Macaca fascicularis: one gene and its partner. The protein of the gene in region 1 purifies or fractionates together with the protein of each later gene. This does not show direct contact. Links are inferred from orthologs where the notes say so. Each region holds a gene or a part of one and is shown on either strand. Other genes may lie near its edges.

Region 1 (5,380 bases):
TAGAGAATGAAAGGATAGCCGACCAGAGTGAGTGTGATGAGCACAAGTGGGAGTTAGCAAGTTGCTTCAGGAGTCTAAGAGGGAAATGCTGGTAGCCGGGACCAGAGTGGCAATAGAGGTAGAAATAAGGAGATAGATTCCAGCTGATAAAATCAGTAAGACTTGAGGAATGATTAGACATGGGAGAAAGAAAAGAAGAGAGGTATCAAGGACATGTTGGTTTCCTGCATTTATATACATATATACATGGAAATGCCAGTAACACATCTTGTACAATATATACCAAGTTGTTAACAGAAGTTACCTGTTGAAAGGGAAGATGACTTTTACATAGTTAAAAGCAGACTTTTAAAACCACATACATATGTACACTGTTTAAATATTTTATAATCAGCAGGTATACATTGCCTTCTACTTAAACTCACGTGCAATTTGCCTCCCTGAAAAGGATAGGAATGGCATTTTAGGGAGAAGGAACAATCTATCCCAAAGCACAGATACATGAAAGTATGACATATTTAAAGAATATCAAGTGGTCTAATGTTTGTAGAATAAGAAAGACAGACATATACGGGAACAGAGATGAGGAGAGGATTGAAGCTATTGCAGAATATGGCCAGATCATAAAGAACCTTCTATCTGAGGCTAAAGAAATCATTCCTTAAAGAGTAGGAAATGGGGAAGCAAATGAAGTTTTCAAGCAAGAGGGTGAAAAATATCAAGTTTAAATTTTAGAAAGATTTCTCAAGAGGCAGTATAAAGACTGAACCAAAAGGAGACAGAAAACAGCCTGGGAGATCACTCAGGCAAAAACTTAAGGCAAAATCAGGGGCAACAGATAGAGAAGGGAAGAAATTTGAGATTCATTTCAGAAGTTGACAGGACTTGGTGATTAAGCTAATCCAACAGAGAAAAGGAAAAGTCAAAGATGCTTCCATGATTTCTAGTTTAGGAAATTAGTGATGACATCAATTGAGATAATGCAAGAATAGGTGAAGTGAGAAGATTAACAATTTCTGTGTTGAAGATAATGAAGTTTAAATACCTCTGGAGGCAGGGCAAGTTACCCAACAAGAAGTCAGACTATTTAAGTTTGAATTTGAAGAACAAGGTTGAGAATGGGAGCACATGAACACTATTACTCAGAAGAGAGAATTTTAAACCTGTGGACACAGTCTTACCCTCAATGCAATTTCACTCCATCTTGAGGCAACCATCAAGAGTTGACCAGTTCCATTTATTTTCATAGTCGTAAAAATTCCACAAAATTGTTAGTCTCTGTAAGTGATAACTTTAAAAAGTCAGAGCTTTTGTCTTGTTCTGAGTCATTTTTCCCCTTTCCTCTTTGTATGCCATTCTTTCTGTCAAACTATCTAGTTAAGGAAGCTATATGAGGTATAAGGAAGAATATTAAGAAAATTTTGTTATTCTTATTGTCTTAATTGTAAAGGCAAAGAAAAGAACATTCGACTATTCTACCTTTAGCAAAACCTAAGTTAAATAATGATTTACCTATGTGACTCTCCACTAATTTTCTCTTGCAAATCATCACCCCTTAATTAATGGACATCCCCAAGGCAGTCAACTCAAGCTGTAGCTTTAACCACAGAGGTTAAACAATTCAGTCCTGTTGTTGCTGTCAGAAATCCAAGTTACACTGTACCTTTGTCTAATCAATGGTGCCCTACTTTGGTGGGAGATGAAGGAAGGGACCTGTTGGCAAGGAAACAGCTGCTTCCTTCCTGAACAAGGGAAAACCAGTAAGGTGACAGATGGGCAGAGCAGAAAAGTAGCCAAAAATTGCTCTGGCTCCTGGTTGGCAATAATTTTTGGAACTGAGGCACAACTGAATATTTTAAAGTATATCAACAATTGAGAGAGAGTATTGTTTACCTGGGCGCGCCAAAGTTCAACAAGCCTTCCCACACATTTTCTACATTTGAAAAACTTTTACGTTTGCAGTAGTACAAAGAGCTTAGCCTTAGCCTATGTACAGTGGGCAAAGACTGCAAGGCACTGTCCCATTTCACTTTAGGATTGCACCCAAGCAAATGCACTTTCTGGTTAAAAAAAAAAAAAAAAAAGGAAAATTTTTATTTTCTCTATAATATAGTTGTATGACTGACTAGAATTACTATTAAAATCTCATTAAAAATGTTTTCCTTAAAAGTTTACTTTTATATACTTAATTTGAAAGGATTTGTTGCAAACTTTTATAATTTGTTCTCTAATCATTCCCCCTCCCACCCACTTCGGTACCCAGAAAACTAAATATCCAAGAATTCCTGGGTAAAACAGACAACCACTAGATTGATATAACTAACGTATTTTTTTTTTAAGCTGTATAGTTCTTCATCAAATGGAAATCGGCAAACCACTGAAAATAACATTAAAAATTAGTGTGGGCATGAAGTATGGAATTTTAAACATCAGTTTACTATGCTGATTAAGTCAACATTTATATTTTCATCAGAACTTAATAATCCCATAAATAAATAGAGCTCTCAATTATTTAAAAAAATCAAGGGATAACATATGTATTTAGACATAGTAGCAGCGTAAAGATGTATGCTTCAACACACTTATTGGGGAAACGTCTGAAAATATTACTACACTGAATTCAAAGGTATCCGCAGGAACCTGACATAGAAGTTCTCTAGAATAACATCATTTCAGGAAATTTCAAAAAAGAAAAGGGGTCGAATAGGAAATAGCCTCAAATTAATTGACAAAGTTCAGTGTTTGCCCCAACTTGATTATTCTCTCTCTCCACTGCAAAAAGAAAGTCTCAGGATGAGTGAATCACTTAGACGAAAGTTCATCTAGTGGAATAAATGGAGAAGCCGCTTGGGCAGGTGACACAGGAGAGTCGGTGGTAGTGCTGACTTTCGCTGGTGAGTTACAAGAAGATCCGGCACTGCTGCTGTTTCCATCAAGGGTATCCGAAGATACACACACACCAGGATCTGACAGCTGTGCAACGTCAGAAGAAAGCATGTTGGTGATGCCCTGGAAAAATCTCTTTGGCTGATAATCAGTTTCCATTTCACATTTTCTTTTCAATGGTCCAAGAACACTTGGTCTAATGCAATTGATGGGGCTCTGGCTTCTCCGGGTGGTAAATCGGGTCGTTGGGCTGGGAATAGGGCTTGGAGGCAATCCGTTGCTACTTACAAAACTTTGCAAGGATGGCGAAAAACACTGCTTCCCAATTCCCCGAGTGGGTGACGGTGCCGGTGACACAGGAATGAAATCGATGCGCTTGGGGGAGGCGGATTTCTCCACGTCGTTGTCACTCAGGCTGAAACTTTCCTCCCAGGAGTGGCTTATCTGCATTGCGGTCTGCACCTCCCGTTCGTGGACCGTCTCTCGGTTGATCAAGTCCATACCCTCTTCTTGTTTGATCTGGTGCAAGCGGCTGCTGTGCATGCGGACAGGGGAGGCCGGTAGCAGCAGGCCGTGGCGGCTCGGGAACGTTGTGCTGTTCCGCCTGGCGCTCGGCGCCTCGGCCTGGAACACCGGCGAAGTGTCACTGAGGCCGTGGATCAGGGGGGCGCTGTTAGACCTCCTGAGGCCCCCGCCGCCGCCGCTGCCGCCGCCCTCCGCCGGGCTCCCGCCCGTACCCGGAGGCAGCTCCAGGTCTAGCTCCATCTTCTCCTGAGCCATGTCGGGGGCAGGGAGGCGGGGGAGGTGCTCAGTCAGGGACCTAGGATTCCCATTCCCCGCAGTCCAGGGCCGCCGCCGCTGCCGCCGCCACCGAGAATCTGTCAGCGGGCTGGCCCCTCTGCGCATGCGTACCCCTTCGCGCAGGCGCTCGCGATGTCCGTCCTCGAGGCGCCTGCTTTATGCGTAATATCTGCGCGGCAGTGGTAGGGGAGGGGCGAGGAGTGGTCGGGCCGCTAGTCCGTATATTCCTTCAGCAAATAGCTATTGAGCGCAAACTGGCATTGACGAACGTCAATAAGATTGTCATATTCTGGAGTACATATTTATAAAACGAACAAAGCCCTGAAAGAGAGGCCCATGGTGATGTGGGGCTGTATGACGGGGAGTGGCGCTTGCGAATCAGGGAGGGCTTCCTCGAGGAAGGAACAGTGTCCTGAAATCCGAAGAAGTGGGCGAAATGGGTGCGATGTAAAACTTCGCAGGAAGCGGGAAGCAAGGGCGACCCAGCCAGGTGGCAGGCGGGAACCAGGAGGGGAGGAGAAAGTGTGGCCTGGAGTGGAGAGTGAGGGCTGGCGTGACGTGAGGTGGTGGACCAGACCACATTCTGGTCTTTATCTTGAGAACAATGAAAACTTAAAGGGTTTTCAAGCATGGGTATAATAGCAACTGAAAAGCTCACTGGCCTGCAGTCTGGAGAACAAATACTGGGAGATTAAAACCTTACAGAAAAAAGGCCAGAGAGGATGGTAATTTGCACTAAGGTGACTGTGGAAGTGGAGATGGAGAGAAAAGTAAATGAGAACTGTTTAGGTTAGGGGAAAAAGCCAAAACCGGGGATGGTACTGATACTGATTTACAGTCATAGTTCCAGCACAAGCATATGTGTGAAGTATGAAGGATTAAAGGAAAACCAGTAGGTCCTCACATTTTAAAAATAAAAACACTATTCTTGGCTCATGTAATTAATATGAAACCTTGATAGCTCATTAAAAGTGAATTTATTTGTTCATTTATTCAGTCAAGGTTTTTTTTTTTTTTTCCAGCATACTTACTATGTGCCAAACACTGCTAGGAAATGGGCCCTAGTCTGAGAACTTTTAATTCTTACTGAGGGGAAAATACAGAAATAAACGCAGGCTATTTTCAGATAGTGGTAAAGCCTTAGGAAAAACAAGATGGTGTGATGGAGCACTACTGATAGAAGGCAGCGGACAATTAGAGCTGAGATCTAAATGACAAGCAGCAGCAAGTCACGTGGACATCTGGGGAATGAGTATTCCAAGCAGAGAGAATAGCAAGTGCTAAGGCCCGAGGCAGCCATGAGTTTGTTGAGTAAGCGGAAAAAGAAAGAAGGGCAGTGCTGCTGAAGCATAAGAGCGGCGAGTGTTAGCAGAGGGTAAGAGTTGGATCTCATTCTGAGTATGATGAAAAGCCACTGGAGGGTTTTAAGCAGGGGAATGATATTATCTGGTTTATGTTTTAAATATCACTTAGGCTCTGTGGAAAACAGGCTGAAAGAGGACCACAGTGGAGGCAGAAGGATGAATTCAGGGCCTATGGCAACAATACAGATAAGATTCTTGGACTAGGGTTGTAGCAGTGTCAATGGGGAGAAGTAGAGAGACTGAGGCTATGTGTTGAGTTAGAACCAATAGGATTTGCAGATGGATTAAATTTAGATTGTGAAAGAAATAGATTATTCAAAGGGGACTCA
Region 2 (5,354 bases), on another chromosome or scaffold:
AAATCAAGACTATAGGATTTCATATCCTGTGTTCCTTCTAGTATCCTGAACTATCTCAGACACAACTAAAATATCTGGCATATGAATATAATCAGCAACCGTGTGTCCCACCCCAGACTCTATTCCACCCTTAGGTCCTACTTCCTTTCCTGACTCCTCCACTTCTCAGCTACACAGCTTTGGCCACGTTATTTATGGTGCTTCAGTTTCCTCATCTGGAAAGTGTGGACAAGGACAGGACCTACTTCAAAGAGTGATTATGAGAATTCAATAAGATTGTCAGTGTTATTCCTCTGCACTGTACCTAGCATTGAGCAAGCACCCAGTAATTTGTTATTCAGATGGTTTAAGTCAGAGGTTGGCAATTTTTTCCCTGCAACGGGCTAGAAAGCAAATATTTTAAGCTTTGAGGGCCAGACCATCTCTGTTACAACTACGCAACTCTGGGCTGTAGCACAAAAGTAGTCCATAGGAGCTTCCAGACAGATGAACACCTAGTGGCTCCTAGAAGGTGGAATGCCCAGGGAGGACATAGAAGCACCACACATCTTCCCCCAAACCTCACCCTATGTGTGTCTTCATCTGTATCCTTTGTAATATCCTTTAGAATAAACCGGTAAGCTGCCTAGCTCTGATCCTGGCACAAAAACAACTCCCTACAAATGTTTGCTGGTTAGTGGATGGATGGATGGATGGAAGGATGGAATGATAGACAGCTGAAGGAAGTGATCCTGGAGTTAAAAAAAACAAACTGGCTGGGCACAGTGGCTCACACCTGTAATTCCAGCACTGTGGGAGGCTGAGGCAGGAGGATCACCTGAGATCAGGAGTCTGAGACCAGCCTGGCCAACACGGGGAAACCCAGTCTCTTCTAAAAACACACACCCAAAAATTAGCCAGGGGTGGTGGCCTGCGCCTGTAGTCCCAGCTACTCAGGAGACTGAGGTGGGAGAATTGCTTGAACCCGGGAGACAGAGGTTGCAGTGAGCCGAGATCACGTCAGTGCACTCCAGCCTGGGCAACAGAGTGAGACTCCATCTCAAAAAACAAAACAAAACAACAACAACAAAAAACTATGGCCATATCTGTTCCCTCTTCCTGGGCAGCTCTTTCCCACCTTCTTTCCATCTCTTCTTAAATTCTGCATCCTCAGAGGGGCCTTGCCTGATTGGCCTACTTAAAATGGATCTGCCCCACCCCACTTTGTACTTGCTGTGCCCTCTGCCTTTAGGTGTGTTCTCAAACTTGATCTCAACAAGGCCTCCCCTCACCACACTTTAAAACTGCATCCCCCAGGCCGGGCACAGTGGGATTACATGCCTGTAATCCCAGCACTTTGGGAGGTCAAGGTGGGTGGATTACCTGAGGTCGGGAATTTGAGACCAGCCTGACCAACACGGAGAAACCCCATCTCTACTAAAAATACAAAATTAGTTGGGAGTGGTGGCACATGCCTGTAATCCCAGCTACTTGGGAGGCCGAGGCAGGAGAATCGTTTGAACCCGGGAGGCAGAGGTTGCAGTGAGACAAGATCACGCCACTGCACTCCAGTCTGGGCAACAGGAGTGAAACTCCGTCTCAAAAACAAACAAAAAAAACCCCTGCATCCCCCATCTCTCTTATTTTTATTTATCTCCCTACTGCTTATCTCCAGTATACTCTGTTTATTATCTCTCCTCACTGCAAAGTAAACTCCCCTACTGCATGCCAGTGCTTATAACAGTGACCTGCACAGAATAGAAGGCCAATTCAATATGGATTCACTGCCACAACATCCTGTTTGTTTCCTTCCCATCACTTTTCACACACTCTGTTGACCTGTTTCACACCTGAATCCTGTATAGCAACTGGTGTCTCCACTATATCCCCAGCATCATACCTGATACATGGCACGTGTTTACTGAACAAAAGAATTCATACAACCGCCCTACGAACTAGGTAATTATCCCCATAAAAGAGAAGAGGAAATAGGCTTAGAGAGATTAACTAACTTGCGCATGTCAATCAGTGAGAAGTGGAAGGGCCAGGAATACAACCACAGCCGGTCTGCCCCCAGAAACAGTGATATACCAGGAACCTAGGAGGCGGGACCCACGTTTGGCAGGTTACCCAGTGCACCTTGTTCAATTTTATAAATGCGAAAACTGAGACCTAAAGGGAGGATGGGACCTCTTTAATCACCACTCCCAATAATCACAGTTAATATGTATCAGGCCCTTACAACAGGTCTGACACCATTCGACTTTTTATTTGTGCCATAATTCGTTCAGTCCCTCACAAGTCCCTCCAGCAAGACCAGGACTACAATTAGCCCATATTTTATGGAACACGGAGGCCCAAAGCGGTGAAGTAATTTGCACAAGGTCACACAGCGGGTGGCAGCCCTGCTCAGAGCCTTGGGCCACCGCATCCCATAACCAGGAATGTTCATCCGGGCTGGGCGCCGTGGCTCACGCCTGTAATTCCAACACTTTGGGAGGCCGAGGCGGGTGGATCGCTTGAGGTCAGGAGTTCCAGACCAAGCCTGGCCAACGTGGCGAAACCCGTCTCTACTAAAAACACAAAAATTAGATGGGCGTGGTGGCTCGCGCCGGTAATCTGAGCTACTTAGGGGGCTGAGGTGCGAGGATCGTTTGAACCCGGGACGCAGAGGTTGCACTGAGCCAAGATCGCGCCACTGCACCCCAGCCTGGGCGACACAGGGGCTGTCTCAAAGAAAGAAAGAATGAAATGTTCATCCACTTAGCAAATCCTTCACCCCCTATCCTGATCAATGGGAGGATCTGGGGAGATGGGGAAGCGGGTTTCTACAACGTAATTCGTTCTTCAATTTGGCTAGTCCCCACCTTTGGTGGGGGGGGGGGGGTGTTTTTGCGTCCCCGTCCTCTCAGGACACCTAAACCAAAATGAGACGTGGAGAAAGAGCAGGAATTGGGATGGCAGGCCTTCGCCTCTCGGTCCCCACTTGGGCCAGCAGTCGAAACCCAGAAAAGAAAAAAACCTTCCCAGGTCCTGACCCATCAGGCGGCTCTCCCCCACTCGGAGCAAGTCACGAGCGCCCCACATCTCCAAGGGGCCATTCAGAGGCCGCCGCCAATCACGGAGCCCTCCTCTCTCCCGGACCCAGTCCGCCGACCCCAGCCCTGGCCGCAACCTCCCAGGACCGCGGATCGCGGACCGCGGACCGCCGCGCGCACTGAGCAGGCCCGGGACCCTCGAGGCTAGCGCAGGCCCCCGCCCTTCACTGGGCCAACACCCAATCGAGGGCGCCGTCTCAATGAGTCCGGGCACCCGGGGAGATAAGAGACGCACGTTGATTGGCCGCCGCCCCTTCCGCCACTCCCAGCGAACGCTGAGTCTTCTCCGCGAGGGCTGCCCATGCCCCCAGGTACCCCTCCCCGTCTTCCCCAAGTCCCCCGTAGCCTCCGTACCTGAACGTCCTCGTTGCGGAGTTCGTCTATGAGCACCGCGATGGGGTACAGCGAGTCGTCGCCGTCGGCCGCCGCCATCTTGGCTCTGTCCCGTTCCTGTCAGACTGCGGCCAGCGCTCTGCTGAAACGGGGGGGCAGAGCTGGGAGGAGGAGGAAAAGCACGCGTGGGGGCGCCCGAACCAGTTTACAGGGGCTGCTCCACGGCCATTGGCCGCGCTACGCCGGCCTAAACCCGCGTTTCTTTGGTCCGGACTAGTGAAGTCCCGCCCACTTCCCATTTGCCATTGGTCGAGTGAACGAGATTTGACTAGTTTGAGCCTAGGGGAGGGGGAAGAAAAGCGGAAGTCAGCCGTGTCCTAGCGACCAAGATTGAACCCGCCTTCGTCGCTGCTAACAACGACCGGGACGAGCAGTTGTTTCTAGCCAATGAGGGGCGATATGGGGAGGACGCTAAGCCTGACCTTTGGTGGGTCCCGGGGATGGTTTCTGCGCGTGCGTAAGTGGTAATACGTGACGTCATGTGGGGAGCGGGAGGGTGTGCAGGTTTTGGGTTACCAGGCCATGGTTCCGCTGGCTGGCAGGCTGGCTCCCCGCGCCTTTGCGCGGCCGGAGGAGGGAGTGAGACTTTTATTTGTGTTTGATTTATGCCAAGGCCCAGAGAAGGGAGCGGCTTGCCCTGCTGTCTCTCTTTTTCTTTTTCTTTCTTTTTTTTTTTTGCCTTTTTAAAGACAGGGTCTCGCTCTGTTCCCCATGCTGGAGTGCAGTGGCGCGATCTTGGCTCACTGCCGCCTGGACCTCCCCGGGCTCAAACGATCCTCAGGCCTCAGTCTGCAGAAATAGCTGGGATTATAGGCTCGCGCCGCTAGGCCCGGCCAGTTTTTTAAAGAATTTTTGTGGAGACGGAGTCACTGTGTTGAGCTCAGTTGCCTTGCTCTTTGGATGAAACCCAAGTTCCTCGGGCCGGTATTCAATACCTTGTCTAGGCGCGTCTCCCGCCTCCGTTTTTTACCTTTTGTCTGATGTCCTGGAAAATCAGAGCTGCCTGAGCACATCTTGCGTTTTCGTGCCAGCAAGGCTCCTTGCCCAAGCTGTACGTTCTGCCTTTCTTATTCACTTCTCAGATCTCTGCGTAAATGCTCTTGTTCTCTAGGCTTCCAGAGCCACCAGAACCTCTCTCTCTGTCTCTCCAATCCCATCTATGTGTCTCAATCCCAGAGCCTGGGCTGTGACTATGCATTCGAATCTGTTTCCTCCATAGAGTGGGAGCAGGATTGGATCTGACTAATCTCTGTTTTTAACCTCTTCAACAAAGCCCCACCCCCACCGCAATCTTAGGACCACTCTGAGGGAGTTGGATGGGGATGGTAAGGCCTGGGATGCGCTCTCTTCCTTTATTCTACTACTTGAAGTGCTGGGCTGAGCTAGCACTCTGGCAGCTCTGAATACCCACAGCATCTATTTTTTCTTTCCTTCTTTCTTTTTCTTTCTTTCTTTTCTTTTCTCCTTCTTCTTCTTCTTTTTTTTTTTTTTTTTTTTTTTTGAGACGGAGGCTCGCTCTGTCGCCCAGGCTAGAATGCAGTGGCCGGATCTTGGCACACTGCTGCCTCTGCCTCCCGTGTTCAAGCAATTCTCCTGCCACAAACTCCCGAGTACCTGGGATTACAGGCGCCCACCACAACGCCCGGCTAATTTTGGTATTTTTAGTAGAGACGGGATTTCACTACTTTGGGCCAGGCTGGTCTCAAACTCCGGACCTCAGGGTGATCTGCCTGCCTTGGCTTCCCAAAGTGCTGGGATTACAGGTGTGAGCAACCGTGCCTGGCCCAGCATCTATTTCAGATACCCTTACCCACTCCAGTTAGGAAACTACTGCTCATAAAAGTGGGGATGGGGGTTGAATATTTCAGTCCCAGCCCTCCACAT

What was found.
Region 2: the proteins of PABIR1 (region 1) and PPP2R1A purify together in Homo sapiens (affinity purification with mass spectrometry; 4 studies listed by BioGRID and IntAct, counting the BioPlex papers as one, with this or other methods). This does not show direct contact. The link is inferred for Macaca fascicularis from reciprocal best matches to the Homo sapiens genes PABIR1 and PPP2R1A.

The regions. Positions count from the first base shown.
Region 1 is NC_088389.1:99,502,627-99,508,006, reverse strand, and holds PABIR1 (PPP2R1A-PPP2R2A-interacting phosphatase regulator 1), read right to left. Parts: upstream 3,767-5,380; 5' UTR 3,667-3,766; coding exon 2,803-3,666; 3' UTR 1,220-2,802; downstream 1-1,219. UniProt on the Homo sapiens protein: Acts as an inhibitor of serine/threonine-protein phosphatase 2A (PP2A) activity. Inhibits PP2A activity by blocking the substrate binding site on PPP2R2A and the active site of PPP2CA.
Region 2 is NC_088393.1:59,956,423-59,961,776, reverse strand, and holds the start of PPP2R1A (serine/threonine-protein phosphatase 2A 65 kDa regulatory subunit A alpha isoform), read right to left. Parts: upstream 3,560-5,354; 5' UTR 3,510-3,559; coding exon 3,432-3,509; intron 1-3,431. UniProt on the Homo sapiens protein: The PR65 subunit of protein phosphatase 2A serves as a scaffolding molecule to coordinate the assembly of the catalytic subunit and a variable regulatory B subunit.